7 linked regions of the Callithrix jacchus genome follow. The protein of the gene in region 7 purifies or fractionates together with the protein of the main gene of each other region. This does not show direct contact. Links are inferred from orthologs where the notes say so. Each region holds a gene or a part of one and is shown on either strand. Other genes may lie near its edges.

The links.
Region 1: the proteins of DPF2 (region 7) and SMARCD3 purify together in Homo sapiens (affinity purification with mass spectrometry; 3 studies listed by BioGRID and IntAct, counting the BioPlex papers as one, with this or other methods). This does not show direct contact. The link is inferred for Callithrix jacchus from reciprocal best matches to the Homo sapiens genes DPF2 and SMARCD3.
Region 2: the proteins of DPF2 (region 7) and ARID1B purify together in Homo sapiens (affinity purification with mass spectrometry; 7 studies listed by BioGRID and IntAct, counting the BioPlex papers as one, with this or other methods). This does not show direct contact. The link is inferred for Callithrix jacchus from reciprocal best matches to the Homo sapiens genes DPF2 and ARID1B.
Region 3: the proteins of DPF2 (region 7) and SS18 purify together in Homo sapiens (affinity purification with mass spectrometry; 4 studies listed by BioGRID and IntAct, counting the BioPlex papers as one, with this or other methods). This does not show direct contact. The link is inferred for Callithrix jacchus from reciprocal best matches to the Homo sapiens genes DPF2 and SS18.
Region 4: the proteins of DPF2 (region 7) and SMARCE1 purify together in Homo sapiens (affinity purification with mass spectrometry; 9 studies listed by BioGRID and IntAct, counting the BioPlex papers as one, with this or other methods). This does not show direct contact. The link is inferred for Callithrix jacchus from reciprocal best matches to the Homo sapiens genes DPF2 and SMARCE1.
Region 5: the proteins of DPF2 (region 7) and SMARCB1 purify together in Homo sapiens (affinity purification with mass spectrometry; 11 studies listed by BioGRID and IntAct, counting the BioPlex papers as one, with this or other methods). This does not show direct contact. The link is inferred for Callithrix jacchus from reciprocal best matches to the Homo sapiens genes DPF2 and SMARCB1.
Region 6: the proteins of DPF2 (region 7) and ACTL6A purify together in Homo sapiens (affinity purification with mass spectrometry; 5 studies listed by BioGRID and IntAct, counting the BioPlex papers as one, with this or other methods). This does not show direct contact. The link is inferred for Callithrix jacchus from reciprocal best matches to the Homo sapiens genes DPF2 and ACTL6A.

Annotation. Positions count from the first base shown.
Region 1 is NC_133512.1:96,971,609-96,975,612, reverse strand, and holds the end of SMARCD3 (SWI/SNF-related matrix-associated actin-dependent regulator of chromatin subfamily D member 3), read right to left. Parts: coding exon 3,908-4,004; intron 3,794-3,907; coding exon 3,671-3,793; intron 3,418-3,670; coding exon 3,322-3,417; intron 3,164-3,321; coding exon 3,062-3,163; intron 2,854-3,061; coding exon 2,692-2,853; intron 1,749-2,691; coding exon 1,651-1,748; intron 1,473-1,650; coding exon 1,337-1,472; intron 966-1,336; coding exon 843-965; intron 722-842; coding exon 620-721; intron 382-619; coding exon 328-381; 3' UTR 198-327; downstream 1-197. UniProt on the Homo sapiens protein: Involved in transcriptional activation and repression of select genes by chromatin remodeling (alteration of DNA-nucleosome topology).
Region 2 is NC_133505.1:163,976,674-163,980,677, reverse strand, and holds part of ARID1B (AT-rich interactive domain-containing protein 1B), read right to left. Parts: intron 2,514-4,004; coding exon 2,186-2,513; intron 351-2,185; coding exon 222-350; intron 1-221. UniProt on the Homo sapiens protein: Involved in transcriptional activation and repression of select genes by chromatin remodeling (alteration of DNA-nucleosome topology).
Region 3 is NC_133514.1:69,287,427-69,291,430, forward strand, and holds part of SS18 (protein SSXT), read right to left. Parts: intron 1,855-4,004; coding exon 1,633-1,854; intron 1-1,632. UniProt on the Homo sapiens protein: Appears to function synergistically with RBM14 as a transcriptional coactivator. Isoform 1 and isoform 2 function in nuclear receptor coactivation. Isoform 1 and isoform 2 function in general transcriptional coactivation.
Region 4 is NC_133506.1:92,638,681-92,642,901, reverse strand, and holds the end of SMARCE1 (SWI/SNF-related matrix-associated actin-dependent regulator of chromatin subfamily E member 1), read right to left. Parts: intron 3,826-4,221; coding exon 3,724-3,825; intron 3,064-3,723; coding exon 2,853-3,063; intron 1,062-2,852; coding exon 853-1,061; 3' UTR 790-852; downstream 1-789. UniProt on the Homo sapiens protein: Involved in transcriptional activation and repression of select genes by chromatin remodeling (alteration of DNA-nucleosome topology).
Region 5 is NC_133502.1:192,698,325-192,703,128, reverse strand, and holds the start of SMARCB1 (SWI/SNF-related matrix-associated actin-dependent regulator of chromatin subfamily B member 1), read left to right. Parts: upstream 1-1,597; 5' UTR 1,598-1,803; coding exon 1,804-1,896; exon of another isoform or gene 1,897-1,986; intron 1,987-3,466; exon of another isoform or gene 3,467-3,659; intron 3,660-4,804.
Region 6 is NC_133516.1:7,812,846-7,816,849, reverse strand, and holds part of ACTL6A (actin-like protein 6A), read right to left. Parts: intron 3,399-4,004; coding exon 3,303-3,398; intron 499-3,302; coding exon 412-498; intron 1-411.
Region 7 is NC_133511.1:122,416,976-122,421,453, reverse strand, and holds the start of DPF2 (zinc finger protein ubi-d4), read right to left. Parts: upstream 2,880-4,478; 5' UTR 2,838-2,879; coding exon 2,806-2,837; intron 1-2,805. UniProt on the Homo sapiens protein: Plays an active role in transcriptional regulation by binding modified histones H3 and H4. Is a negative regulator of myeloid differentiation of hematopoietic progenitor cells. Might also have a role in the development and maturation of lymphoid cells.

The sequences.
Region 1 (4,004 bases), on a different chromosome or scaffold from region 7:
AGAGAGCTTGTTGCTGTATTTTTAAAGTATGAAAATTATTAAACGTGTCTTCTGCTAAACTGTTTTTAGATCTAGGGAAAATTGAGTAAAGAGAATACAAGGGAAGGGTGTGGGGAGTTTGTCCAGAGGGACCCACTGCCTCCCCACCCACCTTTCCTCCCCCTTGCCTCCCCAGTTTCCAATGACCACATGGCTGCTGTCAGATGAATAACTTTTAATCCAGCCCCGCACCCCAAAGCGGCAGAGGAGTGATGCCAGAGCCTGGGGTGGAGCGCTGGAGCTCTGAGTGCGGCCAGAAGGTCCTTCGTGCTGCTTGTTCCCGGGCTCCTAGGTGTTGCGCACAACCAGCGACTGCTCCAGCTCCTGCCTGCGCTGCTGGATCTTTAGAGGAAGTGAGAGCAGGAGCAGGTGTCAGTGTTCCTGGTGAGTGATCAGGACCACCCCACCACCTGACACTGCCCACCCTGGAAGAGCATCTGGGAGCAGGGGTCTGCTGCATGGTCAGGCATTGTGGTGAAGCTTTACTGTGGGGAGCTAAGAGGGCTGCCCACAAGCTGAACAGGGAGGTTTCTCTTGGAGTTGAGGAGGGGGAAGCCTCAGGGCAAGGGACCCTCCATACCTTGCAGTAGAAGTAGCGACTGACGGCCTCCTGGGACCAGGGCTGGTGGTAGAACTCAGCCCGGCGCTCCTCTTCAGGGTTGCCAGCTACATCTGTCATCACCTGGGAGGGGGCATGGGGTCAGCCCTGAGCTCCAGATCCCCTCACCTGCCCTGGAGTACATTTACTGTCTCTCCTGATGTGCTTGTCTTCTACTCCAGTACTCCCTGAGTCTCCCTCTCACCTTGAGGTCCCGGCTCTGGGAGCGGAGCAGATCTTGGACATAGCCTTTGGGGTCTCTGGAGAAGCTTAGCATGAAGTCCCTCTGGATCTTGAGCTGATTTATGGACTCAATCGTCTCATGGATCTGCAGGTAGAAAGATAGATGCTTTCCACCTGGCTGTGGTGATGTGGGAGAGGGAGGGGAAAAGGAGGTGGGTGGGAAGGGGAGGGAGAGGGGTTTTCTTTGGTGAAAGACAACACCTCAGAGCCCCTGATTCCTCTGAAGTCCCAGGGGAGGAGGGGATGGGCAGAACTAAATTTGGAATAAGGTTCAACTCCAAGTAGCATGGAAGGGCCATGTGTACCCCACTGGCCCACACTCTGGTCGCTTCTTTTTCTTTTCCTTTTTTTTATTTAACCCAGACTGCTCATCTGCAACCACACCCTGGTCTCAGAAAAGTCTGCTTTATCATCTCTGGGTTAATGTCCCATTCCAGCTCTGGGCTTGGGCCCCACCTTACTGTCCAGAGCACTGATCTCCTGCTGGTTGGCTGTGGACAGGAGGAAGCTGCTCATCTGCCCCTTTAATGGCTCCTCCACCTCCACATCAATGTCATAGCATGCCGTCTTCTTCTGGTCTGAAGGGTCCACACTGCCAGGGAAGTGCAGCCCTCAGTGTTCATGATGCCCCTATAGAGGCCCTAGGGCCCCGGGGTGGGGGCAGCTCCAACAGGGAGGGAGAAAATACGGGAGTGGGAGGAGAGGGAGGGGCAGGGAAGGCAGGAATGAGATCATTCCCTGGTCTGAGAAGCAAGCTGGGGCCACCTCACCTGATGACATGGTTGATGACAATTGGGTCAGGGGGCAGTAGCAGGGCTGTGAGGCGCTGGGGAATCTCAGAAAACTTCAGCCGGGGACAATCAAAAATCTAGCAAGACAGTTGCAGGGAGAGATCACTCTTGGAAGAGATCATCACGAAGTTGTAGATCCTTTGGTTGTAGAAAGGCCTCAAGAAGCTGAGAGTGAGTCTGATTCCTCAGTGCACAGGGGGATGGGATTGGGGTGGGCTGGTCTGGTGGTGGAGCCACCAGCACGGCTGACAGGGCCTGGGGTGGGTCAGTGTGGGGCAGGTTGAGAGTGCAGGCCCTGGGCCAGTCTATGTATCGGTCCTGCCTCTCCCATCACTATGCAGCCATGAGCAAGCTGACACCTCAGGCCTCTGTCTTCATCTCTAGAGTGGGGGTGAAAATAATATCTATCTCAGGGCTGTCGTGAGAAGTCGGTGCTAATGCACATAAAGTGCTTGGAACAATGCCTGGCACATGGTAAGTGCCCAATAAATATCAGCTGCTATTTTTACTCCTCAGGTTTATCTGCCGTATTTATTTTAAAATGCATTAATAAGAATACTCTCTTTTGGTGGAATTTCGCTAAGTCCCTTTTGCAGCAATTTGATCTTCCCTAACTGCCCAGGAGAGTAGACGGGGCAGGTATTATCACTCCACTTCAAAGATAAGGAAACAAGTCACTTACCCAGAGTCCAGACTCAGGACTAGAACCTGGGAATCCAAACTCCAGGTGCCAAGAATATTACATTCCAGAAAGCAGTTGGCTTTGTAGGGTTCCAGGTCTTCCTAACTTGGGGGGGCGGGGGCGGGGGCTAAAATGGATTGGCTGCAGCACAGAGCTAATCCACAGTAGGACCTGAACTAGAATCCTGGTCGGTCTCTTGGCTCCAAGACCATAACTCTGTACTGCTTCTGCTACTCAGGAAACTAGAAGGGAGGGTGGTAGTTACCTTGGTAGAGGTACTTCCCCTGCTGGAGAACTCTGCCTGATCCCCAGGCCCCTGGGTTCAGGAGGGAGGTTACCTGCTGGAAATACTTGTCCCCATTGATGTATTCCTTGTCATGGGAGTCCTGCAGCCTGTTGGTCTTCACATACTGCCACAGGGCCTGGACGATGGCTGAGCGGCTCTGTGTGTGCAACCCCAGCAGCCGTGCTAGACGGGGATCCAGTTTGAACTGGGGAGGCTGGGAAAAGGGGACTGTGAAAGTTAGATCAAAGGGAGAGAATGGAAGGAGCCCAGGGCCAGGCCATTCAGGACTAGGGGGATGCGTTGACTGAGGGAAAGACAGGGTTGGGAGGGGAAGGAGGTCTCTCAAGATGGACCATGTTGGGACCTAGGCCTGCCCTAAGGGCCTCATGTGACATGTGCGGGGCAGCATGGCAGATGCAGACCTGGTAGTCCAGCATGAGGAGCAGCGTGCAGCGCACACTCAGGTCCCCAGGCCGTTTCACCTGGAAGCCGTCCGTCTCCTGGGTTGTGGGTGTCCGATGCCACTGTCCAGGAGAGAAGAGCTGGGTCACCCAAAGGCCCATCTGGAGCGGTGGGGCCCAGGACTCTAGGGTGGTCCGTGATCCAAATCTGGGCTGGTTCTTCAGGGATTCTGGCCTGTGGGAGGGTGGCAGTTCAAGGGCAGAGGGGATCTTGGTCTCACCTCAACGAGGTGGTTATCAGGGCCATAAAGATCTTTGTCCAGCTCAATGACCAAACTCTTGAAGAAAGAAGAGAACTTCCGCTTCTGTTTGCTGGGCTGTGGGAGAGAAACAGGGACCGTGGGTGCAGAAAAGGGACTGGGGGCAGAAGAAGGCCAAGTTGGCAGCAAACAGGGCAGCGGGCTTAGATGAAATCCTCTGCACCCGAATGTTTCTAGGCCTGCCCTGCCCTGCCCTGCCCTGCCCTGGACCGGCCTGACTCTCTAGCCCTTAGTGCAGACACCTAGTTCTGTTCTCAGTGCAGCCCAGGCCCACCCTAGGACACCTGGAGAGACCTGCGCCGGGACGTACATCATCCAGGAGCTTCCCCTCTACCCGCAGCTCCCAGGAGGCAATGCTGCCATCGGAATCCTCAGCATCAGGCTTCGCAGGGTTAAAAGTGTTGGAGATATAAAGACGCAGCTTCCGCTTTTGCTGTAGAAATAGAGTGTAGAACCAAGTGAATGCTGTGTGCTCCCACCCTGACCACCTTGCTTCCCCATCCTGGGCACGAGACTGAGTCCCCCTCCTACCCCCAAACTAAGGCACCTTCATGGGCCTCTTGAGAGCCTCCTGGATGTCCACCCGCTTCCTCATGATGGTTTGATCCAGTTTCCTCTCAAACGCTAAGAGGTCCATGTAAGCC
Region 2 (4,004 bases), on a different chromosome or scaffold from region 7:
GGTGTCCACCGAACGGCCACGGTACTGTTCATGAGAAGGAAAACCGAAACAAACACAGCGACACAAATGGACAAAAGGACAACCCCCTCGGAGACGGGTTTCCTGTTAGGTCTCTCGCTTTCTTGGTTTGGGTGTTCTTTTGTGGCCAGATGGCACGATCGTTAACAGGTTCAGGGAAAACGCCCAGGTCCCGCAGCAAGTCGGGGTGTGTTGCTACCTACCCGTACTGGTCAGGCTGGTGCGCCATGGGAGCCTGAGAGTTGCCATAGTTGGGGTGCTGGGAAGAAAACATGGGGCGTCCGCCAGCCCCAGACTGGCTGGGATAAGCAGGCGACCTAATGTATGGTGGCCTAAAGTGGAACAGAAGAACAGCTTCTTGGGATTTGTTCTGATGCACAAGCATGAATCCCTGTCTATCTGTCACCCCTACACATAGGTGCGGGGCTCACAGACCACGGAGGCAAGCTGGGTATCCTGCACCCTGCCGCTGCCTGAGGGGTGGGGGGGGGGGACAGAAAATGCCTCTAACAAAAGTGTGTGGACAGGCAGAGAAAAGTAAGATTCTCAACTCCAATCTCCATTTACATTTTAAAGTATAGCTTTGACTTTGGGAAAAGTAAACAAGAAGATATCCAGCCCCCATTTAAACTCCTGGGGAGCTAAAATGGGCAGCAAGTGAAGGCAAGGCTTTGGAATGGACTGGGCATTAGAAACAGAAAATGGCAATGCATGGATGTGTATTTATATACTGATTACTACAAAACCATATAAACACTGACTCGGAAAGGGGGCACGCATGGCTTTGTAACCACACAAAATCATGCCTGGCTCTCTGTGGCTATCTTCTGAGGTTCCTCTCAAAAAGGCTGTGTGCCAAATGCAATCGCATACTTTCTACTTAAAAAAAAAAAGAAAATAATGTGTGCTTTATGAGCTGCAACAATGGACAATTCATTTAAACTTGAATTAGAACTTCAGTTTTGAACAGCCAGACCAGTTTCCACAGACAGGTTTACAAAAACATTCCCCTAAAGCCTGTGTGGGTTCGGCAGACGGCTGCTGGAGTCCAGGAGGCTGTAAGTAACTGCGATGTGGAGACCAAAAGTCAGATAATGATTGATTTTAATTTTTATTTCCTCAACGGAAATTTATTATTATTTGGAGAAAACACTAAGTCTGGCGAGGTCCCACATTCCTCAGATAGCAGCTTTAGAAGAAAAGTAACAAAAGACACGTTTAAAAACACACACACGCACACACATGCACACACGCACACACACCTTAGCTTTTATTTCTCTTTGACAAATATCAGAATCTTCTACCCTTGCTTCTGAAGATTAAGATATACATTTTTCAAAGTACTTTGCTTCAAAACTTATTTACATGTGCTTTAAAAACATATTCACCTTTGCCTTATACATTTTAAATTATATTATTTTTATCCAGGTCAAGTATGTACTTCAAGAATTAATCTTTAAAGTCGGGATTAAAAATGAGTTAAGTAATTGAAGCTAAAGCCAAACTTTCGAAAATACGGTCTTTGCTTTTTCAACCATAGTTTGGTTTGGACAGATAGAAAGATATGCCTGGAAAAATAAAATGTAGCCTAAGAATGTAAAGTATATAAACCTCACACATATATAAGATATGCCTGGAAAAATAAAATGTAGCCTAAGAATGTAAAGTATATAAACCTCACACATATAGACAAACACACAATACACATGTATACATACAAAGTTTCCATTTTATGAAGATTCTTATGGGAGAGTGAAAAGGGTCAGGGGGTGTGTTTCCTTTTCAACGTTTTAGAATTTAAATGGTTTCTGAGCCTTAGTATTTCCTGCTTAAAACTCACTGCTTCAACCGGTACCACATAGACACTTCCCTGTGTGACTGGCTCTGGTTTGCTGCTGCGATGACTATTTAGACATTTCCAATCGCCTCCCACGACTGCCATGCCCACTGCTCACATCCCTTCCTCATGTATGATAATACATGGTTTGTCACTCAGTTCTCTGACCTTGATGCTACAAAATGTATTTAACACAAAAAGAACGGCCAAGCACAGTGATATTCTACTGCTCTGTGTGACCCTGGGGAACAATGCGGCTATGTGCGCAGTCACGTGGCCACGCGTAGACACACAGCGTACCTGCCCGGGGCGTGCTCCTGGGTGGCGTACCTGCTTTGTGCTGAGTTCGCAGCAGCCTGCATCACTGCTGCGGCTGCCTCCTGTGCCTTACGGTTCACAGTTGGCATTGGCGGCCCCATTCCTGGCCCTCCCTGCTGAGACATGCCAGGAGAACTGGGGGTCATGCTGCTCATATTTCCAGGAAATGGTCTGTTCTGCATCCCAGCTGATGGCATTCGTCCCAGGGGCACAGCACCACATGGCTGGCTTGGCCCTTGTCCATGCATCTGGTTGTTGGCACTGATACCCATACCGGGCCCTGGGCCGCTGTAGCTTGCACTGGGCACCCCACTATACGCTGGGGGTCTGGAGTAGTTACCTAAACAAAAAGCAAACACAAAGTAAAGCCTTTTATTTAATCTTGTGACAACATTCACTGGAAACACTTTTTGTCCAACAATGCGATCAGCACGGAGTATTAGTTATGACCCTTATTGGCCCTTCCTGCTGGTGCTGGTGAAGCTGCCAACCTCAGACATGCTCTCTCTGCACACCCCCAGGCCCTCAGAGAGTGACCCAAATACAGACAGCCCCAGAGGACCACTGTGCTGTGAAGAGAAATTCAGGCTGGTCATAAAAAGCAAAAACAAAAAAACCCCAAAAAACAAAAACCCTACGAATAGGCAAGGGCTACCGAGTGCTGCCTCCACCCATTCAACGATGCACATTCTTGGTTTTTTTTTTTTTTTTTTTTTTTGAGACTTAGTCTCGCTCTGCCACCAGGTTGGAGTGCAGCTCCATGATAATGACTCACTGCAACCTCTGCCTCTCAGGTTCAAGTGATTCTCCTGCCTCAGCCTCCCAAGTAGCTGGGATTACAGGTGCACGCCACAAAGCCCAGTTTATTTTTTGTATTTGTAGTAAAGACGGAGTTTCACTGTGTTAGCCAGGATGGTCTTGATCTCTTGACCTCGTGATCTATCGCCCACCTTGGCCTCCCAAAGTGCTGGGATTACAGGCGTGAGCTACGGCGCCCGGCACATTCCTGTGTTTTAACTAAAATGGTGAGCAGCACTCAGACCGTACCACTAGGTCATTGCTACCTTCAACAATCATGAGACAGGGCTCAAAAAGACAACGTGTAGGAAGAGATGCACATGCGGTCCAAATCACCCTTTAAAGTCCCACAGGAAGATGTTGCAGGAACCTCACGTGAGCCCCCGTTTCCCTCTAAGCTGGGAATAATTTTTTCTTTTTTTTTTTTCTTGGGTACTGGCATCAAGCGGCTGGTTTGTGCTGGCTTCCACATCTCGGAAAACTGTCCCAGCACCAGCATGGTCCAGGTGGCAGGAGGGCTGGCGGGAAGAGCTGGGGGGGGGGGCAGCGAGGGCTGGTGGGCACGGCCAGAGGGGGGTGGTGAGGGTTGGTGGGCAGGGCAGGGGCAGGGGTGAGGGCTGGAGGGCAGAGCTGGGGGGCTGAGGGCCAGCGGGCAGAGCTGGGAGGTGATGGCTGGTGGGCACAGCTGGGGGGGTGAGGGCTGGCAGGTAAAGCTGGGGGGTGCGTGCCAAAGAGCAGAGCTGTGAGGGTGAGGGCTGGAGGGCAGATCTGGGGGAATGAGGGCTAGCGGGCAGAGCTGGGGGGGTGAGGGCTGGCAGGCAGAGCTGGGGGGGTGAGGGCTAGCGGGCAGAGCTGGGGGAGTGAGGGCTGGAGGCCGGGGTGAGTGCTGGCGGGCAGGGCTGGAGGCAGGGGTGAGGGCTGGTGGGCAGGGCTGGAGGCAGGGATAAAGCGCCCAGTGGCACCTCTTGGCCCTGGTACACACTGGCCACTGCCCTGGCTGTCTCTGTAGGCGTTTTCTCTTTCCTTTCACACC
Region 3 (4,004 bases), on a different chromosome or scaffold from region 7:
TACCTGGTCATTTTTGTATAGTCTATTTTCTATTATGAAATTCATAAACTGACCAGGTGCAATGGCTCACGCCTCTAATCCCAGGACACTGGGAGGACAAGGCAGGTGATCACTTAAGCAGGCATTCAAGACCAGCCTGGGCAACAGATGGAGACATTGTTTCTATTCTTTCAACAAAATACAAAAAATAAAAATAAAAAACAAGAAATTTATAAACGACGAGAACAAGGCAAAAAAGTGATATAACTAATGTACTACAGTAAAAGGAAGAGCTACACATTCTTACAAAATATGACATTTTTATAAGTTAAAGTTGGTCCCTAAGAACAAAAAATTTCTATAAACGCCTCAGTACTTTTCTCCAAAAAGTCAATATACAACACTGCTGCATGCATTAGCTTTTTTTCTTCTTCAAATCTTAATATGTCATGTCAAACCCTGCTCCAGCAACACTCATTTTTTTTTTTTTTGTGCACACCATACCTTTTCTTAACCACAAGTTTCTAAGAAGTGTGCCATCATTACTGGAGTTGCTGCCAGAATCATGAATTTTCCTGTTCTCTCTCCTGGTAACCAAACTGTATAGAGAAACACCTTAACTCCCTTTTGATCTAGCACTGACTGGATCTTGCTGTTGTATGGACTCTTAATTGACCTAATAAAAACAAAAAAATAATTCCACCATAGGCATTAAGTAACTTTGGGGGTAAAAAATGTTACAAGTGCCATTTGTGAAGCTACAATGTTGACAACTTTTTCTATTATCTCCTTTTGTTTTCAGTATATCTCACTGAAATTATTTTTAAAATCTGTATATTTTTAAATTCTATGACTTCATCATAAGGAATTATCAACAAATTAACATTAAATTCTTTTATCTGGGTACATTTTAGTGCTTTTTAATAATCAAAATCTAGAAAATTTTATTCCAAATACATTTAACTCTATCTTACAGTCTTAACCGTAAGACAGAATTACCATATTTTGTAACTAAAATAACGTTAAGCTGGAAATATGCCAAATGTTTTAACAGACAATTTACAGAACAGAGTGCCACTTACTGGCTTTTAGTTATTATTCACAGAATACTTAGAAACATAGCACAATTTCATTCTGAGATTGGTAATAAACTTTAATGGACTTATGCCATTCTAAGAGTAGTACAGCAGCACCCCACTGAACATTCTAATAGCAAATTATTTTAGAATTACCTTTTAATGCTAAAACATAGCATCAGAAAACATCCATATAAATCAAGGGAAGTTCATATAAATTAATACATCATTTAAACTGTAAGGCAGGTATTTATTTTCTCAACTTTCTAGCTCTAAACCAAATGTTTGGTTCTTCACTGATCAGCTTTAAAAAACAATTCTCAACAACACAGAACCTCAAATAAACTGTTCAAAAGACATAAAAATAAATAAGCTTAAAAAGCTAAATTGAGCAATTTAATTCATACATATAAAAAAAGATTTAAACTAGTTTCAAACTCAACATTCCATTTTTCTGGGCATGGCTGTCCCTCATTTTAAACTTATACTTTTATGAATCAGCTAAGAACCTGATAATCATTTTACTTTCAAAGGCCAATATAGTACTCTAGTCAAGAAGGACATAAAGCTTAGTTACCTTGGTTTGGCTGCATATTCATATTTGGTCTGGGACCATAGTTCCCCATTGGTTGCCCTTGACTCATTGTCATCTGATTCTGTACTGGCATGCTCTGTGATGATGACACGGAATGGTTGTAACCTCCCATGGATCCATGGCTACTTGAAGGCATATTCATGGAACTGTTTGTCATATTGAGTTGATTGGGTCCAGGTCCCTGCATAGGCATATGGTTAGGCCCTTTGAAGAAAAATGATCAGAAGCAAAATATGAAAATTAAATAGATGGTCCATACAAAGTACCTGGAAAGGGTATTTTTTTTTTTTTTGCATTATTATAGTAATACCAAACAAGAGTTAATCAGTAGCAAAGTAAATGGTTTATAGGAATGACAGTAAATACTGAGAGTATTCCCATTTTACAGATTAATAAACGAATGTTTTTGAAACGTCATGAACACTCTGAAAATGAAGGGAGGACTAGCTTCTTTAAAATACAGCAAAACATATCATAAGGTTGGAGTAATTAACTGTGAACACAGGCGGGGCGCAGTGGCTCACGCCTGGAATCCCAGCACTTTGGAGGCTAAGGCAAGTGGATCACAAGGCCATGAGTTCAAGACCAGCCTGGCCAAGATGGTGAAACCCCATCTCTACTAAAAATACAAAAGTTAGCCAGGTGTGGTGGCGGGTGCCTATAATCCCAGCTATTTGGGAGGCTGAGGCAGGAGAATCACTTGAACCTGGGAGGCGGAGGTTGCAGTGAGCCAAGATCGCGCCACTGCACTTCAGCCTGGGCAACAAGCAAGACTCTGTCTGAAAAAAAAAAAACCTGTGAACATAATGAATAGATTAACAGACTGAATGACTAGAACAGAGTCTAAAAACAGACCCAAATACATGGCTGAGTAACTAATAAGTATCAGTGAGCAATAGAAAACTAATTCAGTAAATGGTGTTGTGACAACTTGGGAGCCATTTGGAAAAAAAAAACAAGTTGGATCACTGCCTTACTTCTTCCACTAACTAATTCTAGATGAACAGAAAACTTAATCCATAAAAGAATTTCAAAAAGGAGAATTTTTAAAATAATAATGGAGGGACCTTCTTAAGCAGGCCAGAAAACCCAGAGCTATAAAACACTGAAAAATTACACTATATAAAGTTTAAAAATTTGCACATGACACGAAACTCAAAAATAATAAAAAGGTAAGTAAGAAAATATTATTTATAAGACATATCACAGACCAAATTAATTACTTAACATATGAAGTAAGTAAAACACCACCACCAGTAAAACAATGGGCAAAGGACATAATGAGGGAATGACTAGTTCACAGAAAAACTACAAAAAGGTTCATCAATACTAAAAGATTGATTGCTTCACTTAAAATAAGAAGGCAAATTAAAACTATGAGACCCAGCGTTCACCTTTCAGATTCTCAAAAATCAAGTTTAATCTAACTGTATTATGAAGAAAGAAGCACTTTTGTCCATTGTTAAAGGAATATAAATCTTACTTATATTCCGTGGGGAATCAAGCTTATGAAATCAAGGGTGGGATCAAGCTTAAGAGAGACAAACAACAATTCAAAGGAAGTAGTTGTCCCTCAATATCTGTAGGAGGCTGGTTCCAGAACCATCTACAGATTCCAAGATCCATAAATGCTCATGTCCCTGACATAAAATGGTAACAGTATTTCCATATAACTTATGTACATCCTCTCATTTACTTTAAATCCCTACATTGTATGTACTACCTAACATAATATAAATGCTATGTAAATAGTTGTTACACTGTACTAAGGAATTATGACCAAAAAAAGTATGTACATGTTCAGTACAGTTTTGTTTTTCCAAATATTTTCAATCCATGGATGCGAAATTCATAAATGCAGAAGTGATGGATATTACTATTTTTATACAAAGCAATTTGTCACTAACTATCAAATCTAAAAAATACATATACCTTTAACCCAGCAATTACAGTTCCAGAAATTTATGCTATAGATATACAAGTTTTTGTGTGCGTGTATACTGACACACACAAAATATATATATATGCACATATATATATTTTTACAGGCAAATTCATGGCAGTATAATTCACAATAACAAAAGACTAGAAGCCTATATTTCCACCATAAATGTTCAAATAAAGTTGTAAAACAGAACGTGACACAGAGACCAAAAAGAATAAGGTATCTATTTACATACAGAATAAAATAATGGTATCCAAGACAGATCTTTAAGAGAGAAAGAAGACACATAATACTATTTAATGAGTGCTATCCTTTGTATTTTTTTTAAAGAATAAGGGGGGAAAAAAGGTAATAGAAATGTAGTATCAAGGGGCTGATGAGCAAAAAAAAAAAAAAAAGAAAAAGGTAA
Region 4 (4,221 bases), on a different chromosome or scaffold from region 7:
TCAAGTGGATTAACTTAATTCCCAGCTGTTTTTCTTCTGGAATGGGCTAATTAGTTTAAATTATCTAGTCCATTACAAGAATATTAAATTCCTTGAGTTTTGTGATCTAGTCTGTCTTTGGAAAACCTGGTAAAAAAGTAATTTTTTTTCTATACAGTAAGGATGAATTTACCAGAACATACCCAATATTAATCATAACAAAAAGCAGTATAGATAATGTATATGCGTTGTGTTCACTTTAATGACCATTTCTTAAGTAACTACTCTTAACTATGGGAGCTATTTCTGGATCGGTAAGATCCAAGCATAGTTAGTTGTAGCCTACACTCAACTTCTTAACACAACTCTTGGTATCTGACATTGACTAAAAGTAAAAAAGGGGAAGTGAACAAATACATACTCATACATGATTACAGTTTTAAGAAGCTACCCTTTGCAGAAGTAAACAAGAGAGGAGATTTTCAGGAAACTGTTGATGGGGATTGGGAAGGTTTAAAGCTATGGCTTTGGTAAGCACCCCAGTGAGCTGTAGGAAGGCATTGTAACAGTAGATTCTGCAGCATCAAAGGATAATTCTCTAAAAGAGGAGGGTGTTTTCTCAATTAATCTAAATTCTGAGGCTTTCAGCAGTTGAGGGCTAGAAACAAGATCCAAAGAAAAGGGCCATCTTCACAACACTAAGAAGGGTGACTGACTGTGCCATTAGGTTCATGAGGCTAAATGGTCCAAAAGCCTTTGGTGGTGTGATATGGACAAGAAAAAAATTAATACACAAACCACATAACACCATTAAAACCAAAAAACATTTTTTCATTTAAAAAAGTATTTAGAACACATAAAACAAGGCAACATTTATTCTTTTTTCTCATCTTCTGGTATGGGATCTGTTGGGGGCTCCTCCACTGTTGCACTGTTGCTCTCCGAGCCAGTGTTGCTATCACTGGTTCCTTCCTCTGCCATACTGTCGACCCCCTCCTGCCCACTCTCCTTGTCCTCAGGAGTAGACGTGCCTTCTTCACCGTTTTGTTGGTTCTCTGTCGTTTCTTCAAGGTGTGTCTCCTCTGTAATCACATATTTGTCACTGTCAGTTCCAAGATGAAATTTTACTCTAGTTATGCTGACAGCATACAACTGGGCTGTCCAATACAGGAGCCACTAGCCACATGTGGTTATTAAACCCCTGAAATGAGCCAGTGTGACTACAGAACTTTTAAGAATGTTGGAACAATCTGGGTATGAAAACCTAACTTTTAGCTGTATTTATGAAATTTATTAAATAAATGCAGATCAAATACTTTTGATAACAATTTTCTTCTGAATTGAGATGTGTAGAAAAATAAAATATACATTGGATTTGAAGACTATTTAAAAAAAGGAAAGCTGATTTTAAAAATGTTTCTTCCGTGTTGAAATAATGTTACTTAGGATATGCTGAATTAAATAAAATATATTGTTAAAACACTTGTTTTGTTTAACTTTTAAAAATAGGTCGCTAGTAGAAAATTTAAAATTTCACATGTGAATTGCATTTTATTTCTATTGGACAGTAAATGAGAGTCAGTCTGTAGTGCTAAGGATTAAATGAGGAGAAGCAGTTGTAGAAATGATATAAGGTTGATCTTTTAGATACTTTCTTAAAGTCATGCTGGACTGTTTCCTGTAGGAAATTAAAAGCATGAGCTTTTGGCTCTAATAGTGTCATACGATCTTCTTCAGGTTTTTCCTTGAGCTAGGAGAACAGAATTTGAGTAAAGACCTGCAAACCGTAAGCATAAGACATGCCTCATTCACAGGTGCCAAAACAGAGGCAAGGGACAGAGTGTTCTTACAGTTGCAAAAATCAGTATTTTAAATTTCAAGCTCTTACTTTAACCACAAAGATGTGCTCATGCTCCAAATTCATTACGATAAAAAACATGTTCATACAAAACAGAGACTCAGATAGTGAAACCTAACATATGACTATCTAAAATGTTAACCTGCTGGATTAAATTTTGCAAAAATACCTGGTAAAGATCTGTATTTCATTACATGTTTTCCAGATGGTTGTCATCTGACTACAAAGTATGACACTTGGAGGTTGTCATTTGAGTACCAAGTATGACTACTGTCCCTCCCACTTCTTGCAGCGATGCTCCAGGAAGCCTTTGGTTTTGTTTTCCATAACAACTTTTAGCTTAGTCCTGTTTACACAGTGTACTAGGCAGTGTCAAAACAGTGCTATGAGGTTAGGTCATCTCAAAATTACAAATGATAATCATTGTAATCAGTACTTTATATAAGTTTTATTCATACAAGTTATTACTATTATTTTTTACCTTGAGGGATGCTGCTTTCAATCAGGAAAATCAATATACCTAGAAGTAAGGGCTTTTCTAGGACAGGGTTGGCATTTTTTTCTGTAAAGAGCCAGACAGCAAATATTTTCGACTTTGCAGGCTAGGCAGTCTTTGTTGCAACTACTCAACTATACTGTTTTAGCCCCAAAGCAGCCATAGACAATATGTAAACAAACAAGTGTGGCTGTGTTCCAGTTTTATTTACAAAAGCAAGTGGTGGGCAGAATTGGCCTATCGGTATTACTTTGAAGAATGCTGTCCTAGGACACCAAAGACAATTATCTTAACACCAATGCTGTTAAGATAATTGATCTTAAAGCAATAACTACATCTTGATAAATAATGTAAGCAATAAAGGTTAAAATATTGAATGTCAATATCATGTCAAATTCAGTACTGGGAATCACTCTCAGTGGCAGGTATCAGAAAACTTGCACTTAGAAAGAAAAATCTAAATTAAAGACAGCTGTACAAAGTCTTGGCACTTCCTTGTGTTTGTTGCTAGTGGGTTACCTGTCTCCATTGGAATGTTCTCGTCGTCCTTCTTCTCCTCGCCTTTGTTGGCTGCTTGTTCTTCCTCAGGAATGATGCTGCTCTGACTGCGTTCAGCTTGCTCTGCTGCCTCCTTCTCCCTTTCCTCCTGCCTTTTGCGGGCCTGTTCCTCTGCCTGTGCAATCTCAGCTGCAATTTTCTCCATATCCACTTCTACTTTCAGACCGCACAACTAGTCAGAATAAACCAGAACTCTTAGTAATGTTTTCTTATAATTTTTGAGCCAGAAATATTCTTTCAAAAGTTGGTTTTCTTGCCCACAAACTATATATATATATATATTCTATACACCTGTGTGTCTGTGTGTGTGGCAAAAAAATGTGGTTCTAGGTCTTCTCTGAAACTCTTGGGTCTACAAGAAAAGAAAGCTGCTGTAGCAGTTGTATAACATCCGATATTCCAGAGCAGCTGGTGAGGCAAAACAGTGAAAGTTCTGGGGTATACATAAGGCTTCCATTTTATATTTTGGGCTACCAACTAGATATCCTTGTCTACATGTAAAGTGCAAACTATGAATTACATCTAATGAAGACATTTTATGAATAAATCACAATAAAAGTAATTGACTGTATGGGAGTTTAAAATATCAGAGGGCTCTAGCATTTATAGGCCTAGTAGATATGTGTATACTCCATGATATTTCAAATTTATTGCAATTCTGCCAGAGGATGGGAAAAATTGTATAAAAAAAGATCTTACAGGTTATATAGTAAAGTTAACCCTGTTTCAAAGTGAACAACATTCATTAAAACACTATTTTGGAAAAAAGAATGAGGAAAAATAAAGTAACAGGCATCGTGATAAAAGTATAGTTAACATATTAAACAGATACCCTTTTAAGTTCATTGTTAAACGAATCTGTGCTTTCCAGGAATTTCCTCTTCTTCTCCTGGTGTCGTTCCTCTATCTGAAGAAGTTCAGCTTCTAGTTTTCGCTGTAAGACAGGATCAGGCTCTATAATTACTTAATTATTTTCTCTAAAGCAAATGTCAAACACAGAAAATATGTCTCATTTTTTAATGGTCCACAATTTCAAACAGTGTACCAAATAATGCTTTGAATTTTTACTTCAGATCATTAATTACATGAGTCTAGCTAAGATTTAAAAACTACAAAATGCAGCACAAAGAAATGACTGTGATAAACAGGCAAATATTAAAGAATACTGTTTCAGGTCAGAGCAATTCCTTTGGAAAAAATACTTAGTAGAGCAGTAAAGATTGATAGGATGCCTCAAAATTCTTAAGTTCACATGTATATCTAAACAAATATACTTTCCATTACAAAGTTCTATGTTACAATTTTTAATGACAAACTTATTAAACCTCTG
Region 5 (4,804 bases), on a different chromosome or scaffold from region 7:
CTGTCATTAAACACAGTTGTTTTCTACTTTGCCTGCTTGGTCTCTTTTTGTGAATGTTCAGCCAGGATCAGGAGGCATGGCCGCTGTCCAGCACTATCCTGGGAGCCAGGGTCACAGTCCCCCAACCCAACCCTCTGGCCCTTGGGGCTGGGCACAGTGCTCAGGGCTCCTTTTGCTCCATTACATCACATTTTGCTACAGTGGCTTGTCAACTGGCTCCGCACTTTCCTACTTGTCCCCTCCGTTCATCCTCCAGAATGGTGGTCATTTTATCTGCTCCCGCCACAGCCCAGCCCCTCGTGAAACACAGTCAGCCTTCCATACATAGCTGTGGTTTCTGCATCCATAAACTCAACTAATCTCGGGTGGGAAAAAAAGTGTTGAAAAAAAGGATGTGGCCAGGTGCAGTGGCTCGTGCCTGAAATCCCAGCTCTTTGGGAGGCCGAGGTGGGTGGATCACCTGAGGTCAGGAGTTTGAGACCAGCCTAGTCAACATGGTGAAACCCCATCTCTTCTCAGCTACTTGGGAGGGTTGCCTCCTACCTTCCAACTCCACATGTGTCTTCATAACAGCATTTATCATAGTTGCATTTTTTTTTTTTTAAAGAGAGACAGGTTCTTCCTTTGTTGCCCAGGCTGGAGTGCAGTGGTACAATCAGCTCACTATAACCTTGAACTCCTAGGCTCAAGGGATCTTCCCCTCTCCACTTCCGAAGCAGCTGGGGCTACAGGCGCACAGCACCACGCCACACCCAGCTTATTTATTTTAAAATTTTTGTAGAGACAGGGACTTGGTGTATTGTCCAGTCTGGTTTTAAACTCCTGGCTTTAAGTGATGCTCTCTGCCTTGGCCTCCTAAAGAGTTGGGATTACAGGCATGAGCCACTGTGCCCAACCACAGCTGCAATTTCAGTAGACTGAACCGTATGAAATCATCAGTGGTGGGCCACTTTTTTACTCACTGGATTATTCAATCAGATACATGATTGCTTTGAGACTTTTAGTTTCACTAGCTTCGGGCGGTAGGAGCCAAGAGACTGAGCCTGGTTTCCCGTCCCACTGCAGGGCTCAGGTAAGCAAAGGAATGGAGGTGGAAAGTGTCCCTTCCCTCCCATGCTCATCTGATGCACCAGCCAAACCAAATACCATCTGGGCCTTTGAATATTGCCAGTCCTTATCCGCTGTTGTCATTTTGCCCACCTCCACAGCTGCAGAAACAGCCGTAGGCCGGGAACTGGGATATCTGTTCCTAGGGGCCCGCCTATCTGCTCAGTTGCATTGCCTGTTTCAGGGGTTGGGAAGCTAAGGCACGAGCCTGGTGTCCAAACGTGCCCAGACCACTCAGGCTTCCAGATATTAGGTCCTTCTCCTTCAAACCTCACTTCGTTTCTTTTCCCCTGGGCTCCGTTCCAGTCCTGGCTGTAAGACTGGGAAAGCAGTGGCTATTTTTGTCCGTGAGAAGCTTTCCTTTCTACACCACGACTTGGGAGGCAGCCTGGGAGGAAGAGAAATTAGCCGTGGCTCCTTTAAGAAGTCCGCGGAGGCGCTCCCGGCCTTTTGTTTCAGCGGCGGCGCGCGCGTCAGCGTCAACGCCAGCGCCTGCGCACTGAGGGCGGCCTGGTCGTCGTCTGCGGTGGCGGCGGCTGAGGAACCCGGCTGAGGCGCCGGTACCCGGCCCGGTGCGCATTTCGCCTTCTGGCTTCGGCTTCCCTTGGCCTGGCACTCGCCGGCCACGCCCAGGCCCCACCCCAGCCCTCCGGATCCCTCGCAGACCGGCTCCGGCCGCCCGTCTCTGCCGCCGCAATGATGATGATGGCGCTGAGCAAGACCTTCGGGCAGAAGCCCGTGAAGTTCCAGCTGGAGGATGACGGCGAGTTCTACATGATCGGCTCCGAGGTAGCCTGCGGCGCGTCCTCGCCCTCCCCGGGCTCGGCCCCGCGGGAGCCCCAGGGCGGGCCCGTGCGCCGAAAGCGGGCGTCTCCATTCATCGGGGCGGGCGGGCGCGCGCGCGCTCCGGACTGTGGGGCGTGACCTGTGGGCGTGGCCCCGCCCCCTCATCTATCTGGGTTTCTTTACCCATTTCGCCGAGGTCTGCCGCCTGCAATGCTGCCAGGGCTTTATGGCGCCGCGAGTGGTTCCATTAGTTCCCTGCTGGGTTGGTTTCCAGCCAGACTCAAAGAAGTGGAATGTTGGGTTAGCCCCTGAGACGCTTGGGGGACCGCACTGCTGCCTTTGACTCTTTTTAGATGTCGTAAATTTCACGTGCACCCCTCCCCACATTGCCACTTGTGGGATCCTGAAATGGCAGGCTGAAAACTCCCGGGCTTAGTGAGGGCTCATCCCTATTGTGTTTGTTTGTTGCTTCTTAGGTGGGCAGTAGAGGTGTTTTGACCTTTGTTTACTAGTGAAGAAACAGATCGGAGGGAGATGTTTGCTTTTGGGTGGGTAAAGGCCCCATGCCTAAGCTGATTCTTTGAGCAATTCTGAAGCAATTGACATTTTCCATATCTGTGAACTGATTCTGAATTATTACAGGGGCAGGAGAACAAGGATCTTTAATCCTTAAGTAGAGTGGCAGTATTTTGTTGCATCAACTGATTGACTGACGTTGGAAAAACCTTCAATTGGCAATTAAACGGGTGTTTATGCCAAATATATTAGGTTCTTGTTTTTTGTCATTTGTTTATTTATTTTTGAGACAGAGTCTCGCTCTGTCACCAGGATGGAGTGCAGTGGTACGATCTTGGTTCACTGCAACCTCCGCTTCCCAGGTTCAAGCAGTTCCCTGCCTCAGCCTCCTGAGTAGCTGGGATTACAAGCGTCTGCAACCACGCCCGCCTAGTTTTTGTGTTTTTAGTAGAGACAGGGTTTCATCACGTTGGCCAGGCTGGTCTGGAACTCCTGACCTCATGATCCACCCGCCCCGGCCTCCCCAAGTTCTGGGATTACAGGCGTGAGTGAGCCACTATGCCTGGCCTTATTAATAGTTTTTATCTTACTTTATTTTAGAAAAAAGGTCTCACTCTGTTGCCCAGGCTTTGGTACAGTGGTGCATCTCAGCTCACTGCAGCCTTGACTTCCTGGGGTCAAGTGATCCTCCTGCCTCAGCCTCCCAAGTAGTTGGGACTACAGGTGTACATCACCATGCCCGGCTAATTTTTGTGTTTTTTTTGTAGAGATGGGGTTTTGCTGTGTTGCCCAGGCTGGTCTTGAACTCCTGGGCTCAAGTGATCCTTGTACCTCAGCCTCTTAAAGTGCCAGAATTTCAGGTGTGAGCCACCACGCTCACACTCAGCCCATTCATACTTTTTAAACTTGTGGGTTTTTGCCTTCACAATTGAGCATAGCATGAAGGAATGAAGCCTCAAGATGGTCACGCTGAGTCCCATGGGTGAGAGTAAGGTCAATAGCATCAGAACTTTAGTGTTAGCATTTCTCCACCTTTTTTTTTTTTTTTTTTTTTGAGGGGAACAACGTCTGACTCTGTCACTCAGGCTGGAGTGGAGTGGTGCAATCTCAGCTCTCTGCAACCTCCACCTCCCGGGCTCAAGCCATCCTCCCACCTCAGTCTCTCAAGCATCTGGGACTACGGCACACACCATCACGCCTGGCTAATTTTTACATTTTTAGTAAAGATCGGGTTTCACCATATTGCCCAGGTTGGTCTTAAAAAATTCAGACGTTCAAGCGATCTGCCCACCTCAGCCTCCCAAAGTGCTGGGATTATAGGTGTGAGCCACTGTAGCTGGCCTCCATCAATTTTTATAAAACAAAAAGTGAAGGATGCAATAAAATTTTCACGTTGTCACTTGAATTGCAACTGTTCGAAGATGGCAGTGCTGGGGAGATGGAGCCATTGCCTGTCCTTGTGCCGCAGTTCAGCATTGTCCTCATTGGCCAGTAGACACCTGCCTAACTGCAGGATGCAAAAGGTGTTGAGTTTCATCATGTGATACTAGGCGAGTTGTTTACCTGATCTAATGGGTATAAAAGTAGTTAGTTTGGCTCAGAGTGGGTGACACTTTAAAAGAAAGCTTTCATTTATTAATTGGAGCAAATTGAGAAGCTGTAAGTGGCCAAGTGGGAAGAACCTTGGGAGGCCTGGTTCCAGCCCTGCTCTGCCTTCGTGTCACGTTTCTCATGTGTAAAATGTGATGCTTAGACTAAATGGTTTCCAGGATCTTCCCCAAAGCACATTTTAGTTTCTGGAAAGCTAATTACAGTCTTGTTTTTCAGCCCCCTTCACTCCTGGGCTTCCCAGTAAGAATAGTCTTCCTGAGGCCCAGCCTATGAGAGACTCAGATGGAGAGGCAGTTTGTTCTCTTGGGCCTGACTTAATCATCAGACCTTTGGAGTTTAGGCAAGGGTTCAAGGTCAGAGCTCTATTGAAATCAGTAGCTCCAGGTACAGTAGTGGATGGATGGCCCCCAGAGCTTAGCAAGAAGCTAAGGATGAGCCCAGGAGTTCAAGACCAGCCTGGGCAACATGGTAAAACCCCATGTCTACAAAAAGTACAAAATTAGCCGGTCATGGTGGTGCGCAGCTATAGTCCCAGCTACTCAGGAGGCTGAGACAGGAGGATTGCTTGAGCTGGGGAGTTCAAGGCTGCAGTGAGCTATGATCGCACCACTGTACTCCAGCCTGGGTGACAGAGCAAGACCCTATCTCGAAAATAATAATGATAGTTAAAAATAAATTTAAAAATTAAAAATATATACTATGTTGGGTAGATAAAATGGGAAAAATAATAGAAGTGGTCCTTCATGGGGTGTAAATCAGGGTTGCCGAGCATTTCGCAGATGAG
Region 6 (4,004 bases), on a different chromosome or scaffold from region 7:
AGCACCATGACTTCACCATTTGCTCCAACCAATTCCTGACTTCCTGTAGTCACTGGGAGTCCCAGGAATGACCAGAACTTGAGAAGGAATGATTTAATTTTAAATGCACTCCAGACAAGCCCTGACCAGTGCCAGTGGGGGTGCTATTAGAAAAGGTATGCATACATTAAGGTATTTCCATCTCTTTTTGAGAAGGGAAATTGAAATTAGGGTGACAAATGTCCAATATTTAGGCAAAGAGGCATTCTGTTCCATCAGAACACACGAAACTGGTTATTCTATTAGGTCCTCCACTCATTTGACAGTTATAAAATGCAAAGATAAATGAAGCACTGGAATTATTTTTAGTATTTTTACTAAATTCAGTATAATTCAGTAAGAATATTTTTGCAAAGTAACTCATTCACTAACCAAGGAGGCTAGAATGGAGCCACCAATCCAGGAGCTAAACCTCCGTTCCACCGTTGTATTATTTGCAATCAATTTCAACCGCATACTCTGAAACAGAGAGAAGAATGCACATTATGCAATCAAATCTTGTGACTCAACTTAGGAAATTCCTTTTTCTTTTTGTTAATAGACACAGGGTCTTGCTCTCCATATTTCCCAGGCTGGTCTCGAACTTTTGCAATTAACCGATCTGCCCATTTCAGACTCCAAAGTGCTGGGATTTCATGCATGAGCCACCGCACTCAGCCAGGAAATTCAATTTTGACAGGCTTCTTAATAGTTCCCTGTAGTTCAAACACTGACTAAAATATGGTAATTTTGAAATAGCTAGGATAATAAGCATAAGTTAGACTAATGTATAGATTTTTTAAAGTACTTTGATTATGGCTTTTAATATGCAATTATGTGATGAGAAGACATACAAACTTTCCAAAACTGCATACTGAAGTGTAGCATTCACAATTTCTATCCTAAAAGAGCAAACCCATACCTAACACTATAAATCTGGTACTGTGCTAAGTCTTTATGTATTATTTCATTTCATCTGACCCAAACATAATTATTATTTTTTTTTTAGAAAAATTTAATCTTTGCATTTTAGTTTGGGATTTTTTTTTTAAGAAAATTTTAATCTACACAAACATAGTTATTATCCCAATCTGCCTCCCATTCTGTAGTCCTCCCCAACCTTCTAACTGCTTCCTTTCTAGGCCTTCATACTATCCTAATCCATGCTTAGTTCACCGCAACCCTTCCAAATAAAACGCAGCCATCAGCTTTCAGGTTAATTTTTTATTTATACTACTTTCCTTCCAAATCAGTGCTTCTGTTTTGACTCTCGCTTTCTCTTGATAATATATCATTTCATTGCACAGAACTATCCCCTATCTCACTTCCTTTATCAAGCGGTTTCTTTCCTCCTACCAAGGAATCTGCCTCTGGGGACAGTTCTCAAGTTGCTGACATCTTCCAATTATTCTATAAATGAACACATTCTGTGAGCTTTTCTAAGTGATAAGTATGTGCAGCAGGGGTAGAGTATGGGATCTGGGTGGGGAGAGGGGACTGGGGATAGGGTAAACATGGGTTCTGTAGGTATGAAAGATTGGTAACTATTAAGTAGAATATTTTTCCTGTTCTTTCACTTAATTATAGAAATGCGGCATATGTGGGCCGGGCGCGGTGGCTCAAGCCTGTAATCCCAGCACTTTGGATGGCAGAGGTGGGTGGATCACGAGGTCAAGAGATCGAGACCATCCTGGTCAACATGGTGAAACCCCGTCTCTACTAAAAATACAAAAAATTAGCTGCGCATGGTGGTGCATGCCTGTAATCCCAGCTACTCGGGAGGCTGAGGCAGGAGAATTGCCTGAACCCAGGAGGCGGAGGTTGTGGTGAGCCGAGATCACGCCATTGCACTCCAGCCTGGGTAACAAGAGCGAAACTCCATCTCAAAAAAAAAAAAAAAAAAAAAAAAAAAGAAATGTGGCATATGTAAAACATTCTTTTATATGGGAAACCAAAAGACTATGAAATATACAGATCTACAGAAGATACTGTTAGGCCTATGTAAATGTAACCACTAACAAGTTTTTTTTTTAATTTAGTATTTAGTGCAGAACACCTTACAAAAAAACACTTTTAAGTTTTTGTTGTTTTCTGTTTTGTTTTGTTTTTTCCCTGAGGTAGAGTCTTGCTCTGTCTCCCAGGCTGGAGTACAGTGGCATGATCTGAGCTCACTGCAACCTCTGCCTCTGGGGTTCAAGCAATTCTCGTACCTCAGCCTCCCAAGTAGCTGGGACTACAGGCATGTGCTACCATGGCCGGCTAATTTTTGTCTTATTAGTAGAGACAGGGTTTCACCATGTTGGCCAGGCTGGTTTGACCTTGTAATCCACCCACCCTGGACTCCCAAAGTGCTGGGATTACAGGTGTGAGCCACCATGCCCAGCCAATAGAATTTTTAAATTTAAAGTTAAAAGATTACAAATATCATTCTGTTTTCAAAGTACTATACAAATTACCTTCTGAAACCAAGTTTTTCTATCCTTGTAAAAGTTCTTACAATACATCCACTGATCTTTTTAAAAGAAATATACGCGTTCATCAGCGTACTGCAAGATTTTATCCTGTGAAGAAGGAAGTATTTTCCCGTATAGATTCAGCATAGCCCCACTGACACCTTGAGGCTTCTAGCCTCAAGAACTACAAGACAATAAATTTCGGTTGTTTAAGCCACTAACCTGTATTTTGTTATGGCAGCTCTAGGAAACTAATCCATCTTTCTAGCCATATTGCTTTCCCCACTTCTGTACAGACTGGAAGCCACCTACTTTGAATTACTGAAACATACCCATCTTCTCTTAATATTTTTGCAAATGGTTTTATTCCATCTAGATATCCTTTCATAAATTAGCAATGAATTGAACTATTCAATCGAACTGTAGCTTCTTAATGAGGCTATCCTCTGATACTCCCAGAGAGTTAAGCAGTGTCTTCTTGGTGTTCCCAATAACATCTGGTTCATGGCATACTTAATTGTTCAGTATGTTACAGCCGTCATTTTCTGCATCTCTAACATCCTAGTAGACAGAGCCCTTGGTGTGCAGGGACTAGTGCCTACTAGACTATAGGCACTTAAATATTATGTTAATAAATGAGATTAAAATAATTTAAGAGAAACTAATAGATGTCAACTAAGAAAACTTGGTTGTAGGATATTAACTTTAGTAATACTCTACCAGGCACACATACAATATCATCTTTATTAAAAAATAAACCCTCATCTATGAAATTACACCATCAGTGAGAATATATATGACTGAAGAATACCATTAAAGAACAGGACTTACTGGAGGAGTTTTCTGAGACAGCTCTCTATTCAACCTGTCAGTAAAACTCTGTATTAGTGTGTTTCCTCCAGCCACTATTACACTGCCATAGAGACCCTAGGATTAAAAAAAAAAATCAGTTAGTTCCAAATGTTTCCAAAAGTTTTAAATACAACTACAAATATAACCATGTTCTCTACTACAATTTTCCCTTTCTTTTTTTTTTTTTGAAATGTTTTCCTATTATATACACTTAATAGCTTAATCTATCAATTCTGCCATCCTGGCTGTACATTTAACTCATCTAAGGAGCTTTTACTCCTGGGGCAATTAAATAAAAATTTCTGGGGATGGGATCCAGGCAAGATTACTTTTAGAGACGGGGTCTCGCTATATTGCCTACATTGGAATGCAGTGGCTATTCACAGGCACTATCATAGCGTACCACAGCCTCAAACTCCCGGCTTCCAACAATCCTCCTCCTGTCTCAGGCTCCCAAGCAACTGGGACTACATGCCACTGTGCCTGGCAGGCATGCTTTTTAACTCCCAAGATTAGTTTAATGTGCACAAAGTTTTAAGAACCGCTAACTTAAAGGAATCGTCCTAAAAATGATCATTTTTTTGGCAGATAGCTGCCAATAATAGAAGTGTATTTTATAACAACTTTATCTTAGAATGCTCATCTGGAAAATTTAATACCAACCACCAGCCAAAAATTAAA
Region 7 (4,478 bases):
TTTTAGTAGAGACTGGGTTTCACCACATTGGCCATGCTGGTCTTGAAAACTGACCTTGTGATCTGCCTGCCTTGGCTTCCCAACGTGCTGGGATTATAGCTGTGAGCCACTGTGCCGAGCCTCTTTTTTTTAAAGACAGAGTCTTAAGGTGTCACTCAGGCTGGAGGGCAGTGGTGTGATATCAGCTCACTGAAACCTCTGCCTCCCGGGTTCAGACAATTCATATGCCTCAGCCTCCTGAGTAGCTGGGACTACAGGTGTGTGCCAGTACACCCGGCTAATTTTTCTATTTTTAGTAGAGATGGAGTCTCACCATGTTGGCCAGGCTGGTCTTGAACTCCTGACCTCAAGCGATCCACCCACCTTGGCCTCCCCAAGTGTTGGGATAACAGGCGTGAGCCACCCTGCTCAGCCAAGATTTTTATTTCTGACATCACATTTGGAAGGGACAGAAATTTACAAATAAGAAAATTCTTCTCCCAGGACAAGATGCAAGTCAGAAAGTTGAGTGGCTGGGTGCGGTGACTCATGCCTGTAATCCTAGCATTTTATGAGGCTGAGACCCGTGGATCACCTCTGAGGTCAGGAGTTCAAGACCAGCCCGGCCAACATGTTGAAACCCGCTGGGTGTGGTGGTGGGTTGCCTTTCAGCTATTCAGGAGGCTGAGGCAGGATAATTGCTGGAACCTGGGAGGCTGAGGTTGCAGTGAGCCGAGATGGTGTCACTGCACTCCATCCTGGGCTGACAACAGCAAGACTCTGTCTCAAAAAAATAAAAGAAAATATGAGCTAGTGGTCCCGACCTCAGTGTATAATATCAACTGTCAGAAGACTAGGCACACTATAATCAAGAGAAGTGCCAGAAAAGCATCTCTTTCCAATGAACTGGAAGAATGGAAGCCCTTGTTAAAGGGATCATTCTGCAGGAGTACGTATTAACTGTGGTCTGAGGCCCTGTACAGCCAGAAATGAGGAGAAAGTTGGTTTCTCATTACTGGCATTCAGGAATTAGTGGCAGGTGAAACAATCTCTATAGTTTTTCCAAGAGAAATCAGAAGTCATGCGGTTTAAATGGGAACCCCTCACTTATGACACAACTTGAAAGCACTGGCAACCCTATCTCCCTGAGGAAAGTCTTCCAACACAAAAAGCCCCACTACGTTTAACTCTCAAAACATAGGCAAGTCTGATATTCCTCCAGTACAAGGGGAATCTTTCTTTTTATTTTTGGAGAAACCCGTGTAAAACATCCCCTTCCAATGGGATAAGGGAAGTCAACAAAGACGCAGGGAAACAAAGAACATCTCAGCCAGGAAGGATAACCGGTATACAAACAGTGTCATTTCTAAATTGAGAAAAATGTCAGCCTCAAGAGAGCTGCGAAACTGGAGTGGGCAGATCAGAGAGAAAGACAATAGTGTTGGGAGGAGGGTGGCTGAAAGAGACAGGATAGATCAGAAAGCAAGTTAAATGAAACACACACACACACACACACACACACACACACACGAGGAGGAAAGGCACTTAGCTTAATGGAAGTGGGAAAGCATTCTCAAAGAAAAGGCTTCAGGGCATGAGGGAGAAGCAGTTTACTCTTTAAAAAGGCTCTTAGGAAGAGTGGGGCTCAGCCCACGATAAAGACGGATGAAAAGCGGTGAGTCCCTTAGAACAGCTAGCGAACCTCTACTTTGTCATTCAGTCAAAATCCAACAGCCCTGACTGGACAGCTAGACATCCTCAATTTTCCCACCCTTCCACTGTCATTCAGTCAAAATCCAACAGCCCTGACTGGACAGCTAGACATCCTCAATTTTCCCACTCTTCCACTGTCATTCATTCCGTCAAAATCCAACAGCCCTGACTGGACAGCTAGACATCCTCAATTTTCCCACCCTTCCACCAAGCCCAACGTACCCATTAAAAGAAGCTCTATTCGCCTAGGGGGCATTAACCCAGTCCAAAACTCGTTCTCATTCTTCTGTAGGAATTAATCAAGTCCCAAAGCATCTTTAACTGACAGGAAGCAGTTCATAGGCCAGTGTCCATGGCCCCAACAAATACTAACTTTAACTCTGCTTGATATCTGGCCAGCACAATGGTACCGTGAAATAGGAAGAATACCCATCTGGATGTCCCTTTAGGCTACTGAGCTGTCCTGAACGGCTTCGGTCCAGCCGCAGGTTTTTGATGGCTGCTTCTGGACTGCGCCAAGGCCCGCTCCCCTGAAGTTCCTTCCCTTCTTGTATCCGCTCTTCGACAAATTCTTCCCAAGAATATTTGCAGTCTTAGGTGCCCGCCACCCAAGATCCTCCCAAACGTCACGGGGCCGCTCGGAACTAAAACATCCAGCCCCGCAGTGCACCCCACTGGGGCCGCCGACCCTGTTGCTGCAGCGGACGGGACGGGACCGGGCGGTTTGGGCGGCGGACTCGCCAGGGGCCGCCCGGGCCTCAGCCCCGCTCCTCGGGACTGAGGCGTCTGGGGAGAGGACCGGGACCGTGAGTCTCGCGCGCAGGCAGGGCGCCATGCTCTAGAAACCGTCAGCCCCGAGGAACGCTCAGGCTACACAGCCCCGCAGGGAGGCCGCCCGTCGAGGCTCCAGTGTGCCCCCATCAGGGCCTCCACAAGTTTCCAAAGAAGCGCAACGTCTTCTCCAGAGTCTCCTGTTGCCCTCCCCACCAGGAGTCGCAACACGATCTTGCCGGGCATGTCCCTCTCTCCGTCTCATCTCTTCCCGCACGGCCCCCTCCTCCCAGGCCCTTTACAAAACCTGCCGCCCTAGGAGAGAAAGAAACGACCACTCACAGCTTCACGACATTCTCCACCACAGCCGCCATCTTCCCTGCTCCTCTCCCTCGGGCCGGGAGGCCCCAGAGTCCGCAGCGCGCAGGCGCCGGGACCACACGGGGGCACCAGGTTCCTCGCCCTCTGCGCAGGCGCCGCCCGGGCGCGCGCACGAGAGCGAGTACTGAAGAAAGCTCTACGCTTGTCTGCGGGGGCCGGGAAGGAAACGCGTGAGACCGCACGGGAGACCGATGCGCAGGCGAAACCGGAGACTGGCATGCGTCCCGGAGCTCGGTTGGAGGCGGGCCGCCTCTTCTATCTAGAAGAGGTGGGGCAGGGCGAGGTGGCTCACGCCTGTAATCCCAGCACTTTGGGAGGCCAAGGCCCGTGGATCGGTTGGGCTCAGGAGTTCGAGACCAGTCTGGCCAACATGGTGAAACCCTGCCTTTACTAAAAATAGAAAAATTAGCCGGGCATGATGTCAGGTGCCTGTAATCCCAGCTACTTGGGAGGCTGAGGGGGAGAATCCTTTGAACCCGGGAAGGCGGAGGTTGCAGTGAACTGGGATTGCACCATTGCACTCCTGCCTGGGCTACAGAGCGAGACCCCACCTTAAAAAAAAAAGAGCTGGAGGAGGCCCGTCGCGGTGGCTCCCAGCACTTTGGGTGGCGGAGGCCGGAGGATTGCTTTGAGCTCAGGAGTTTGAGACCAGCCTGGGAAACTTAGGGAGTCCTCGTCTCTACTAAAAATTAAAAAATTACCCGGGTGTGGTGGCATGTGCCTGTGGCCCCAGCTACTCAAGATGCTGAGGTGACCAGATCGCTTGAGCACAGGAGGGTAGAAGCTGAGTGAGCCGTAATCGCACCACTGCACTCCAGCCTGGGCGACAAAGCGAACCTTGTGTCAAAAAAAATAAACAAACAAAAACCCCAGCACAGTCGACCTTCACTATCACCTCTTTTCAGTCTTTCAAAGCAAATAGTACTCCCTGTCTCTGTTGCCTTGTTTCCAAGTCCCCCTTCCACCCAATTGGTTCCCACCTGTTCACTTGAACTAGCTCCTGTAACCCTGACCTCCCTTTCAGCAGATTTAGAGATGTCTTCTCTGTCCTCATGGGCCTGTCAACCCCATGACACTGTTGGCCACTCTGCTTTTCAAACTCTTCTGCAGATCTTTGAGACGCCACCCCCTCCCGGTTGTCCTACCCCACTGGCAGTTCCTTCCAGTCTCTTCCTCTGCTCAGCCTCTAACTGTCAGAATCCTCAGGGCTTGGTCTTTGGTACTTGTCATCTTTCCAATATATCTTATATCACCAATTCCAAGATGCACATAAATCTCCCCCTTCATTTTAATATTTCAGAAGCTGGACACATCTTACCATTGCTGTGTCTTAAAATCATACTTAGCAGGTGAGAGTTTTTGTCATTCCTAACCCTGTACGAGTATCAAAACATGCAGAATAGGTGTTAGCAGCTTGGAAGAAAAACCCAGAGAAGATGGTAGTAGATTTTTTTTTTGTGAGACACAGTCTTGCTCTGTTGCCCAGGCTGAAGTGCAGTGGTATGATCTCGGCTCACTGCAAACTCCACCTCCCGGGTTCAAGAGATTCTCCTGCCTCAGCTTCCCAAGTAGCTGGGATTACAGGCCTGTGCCACCATGTCTGGCTAAGTTTTGTATTTTTAGTAGAGATGGGG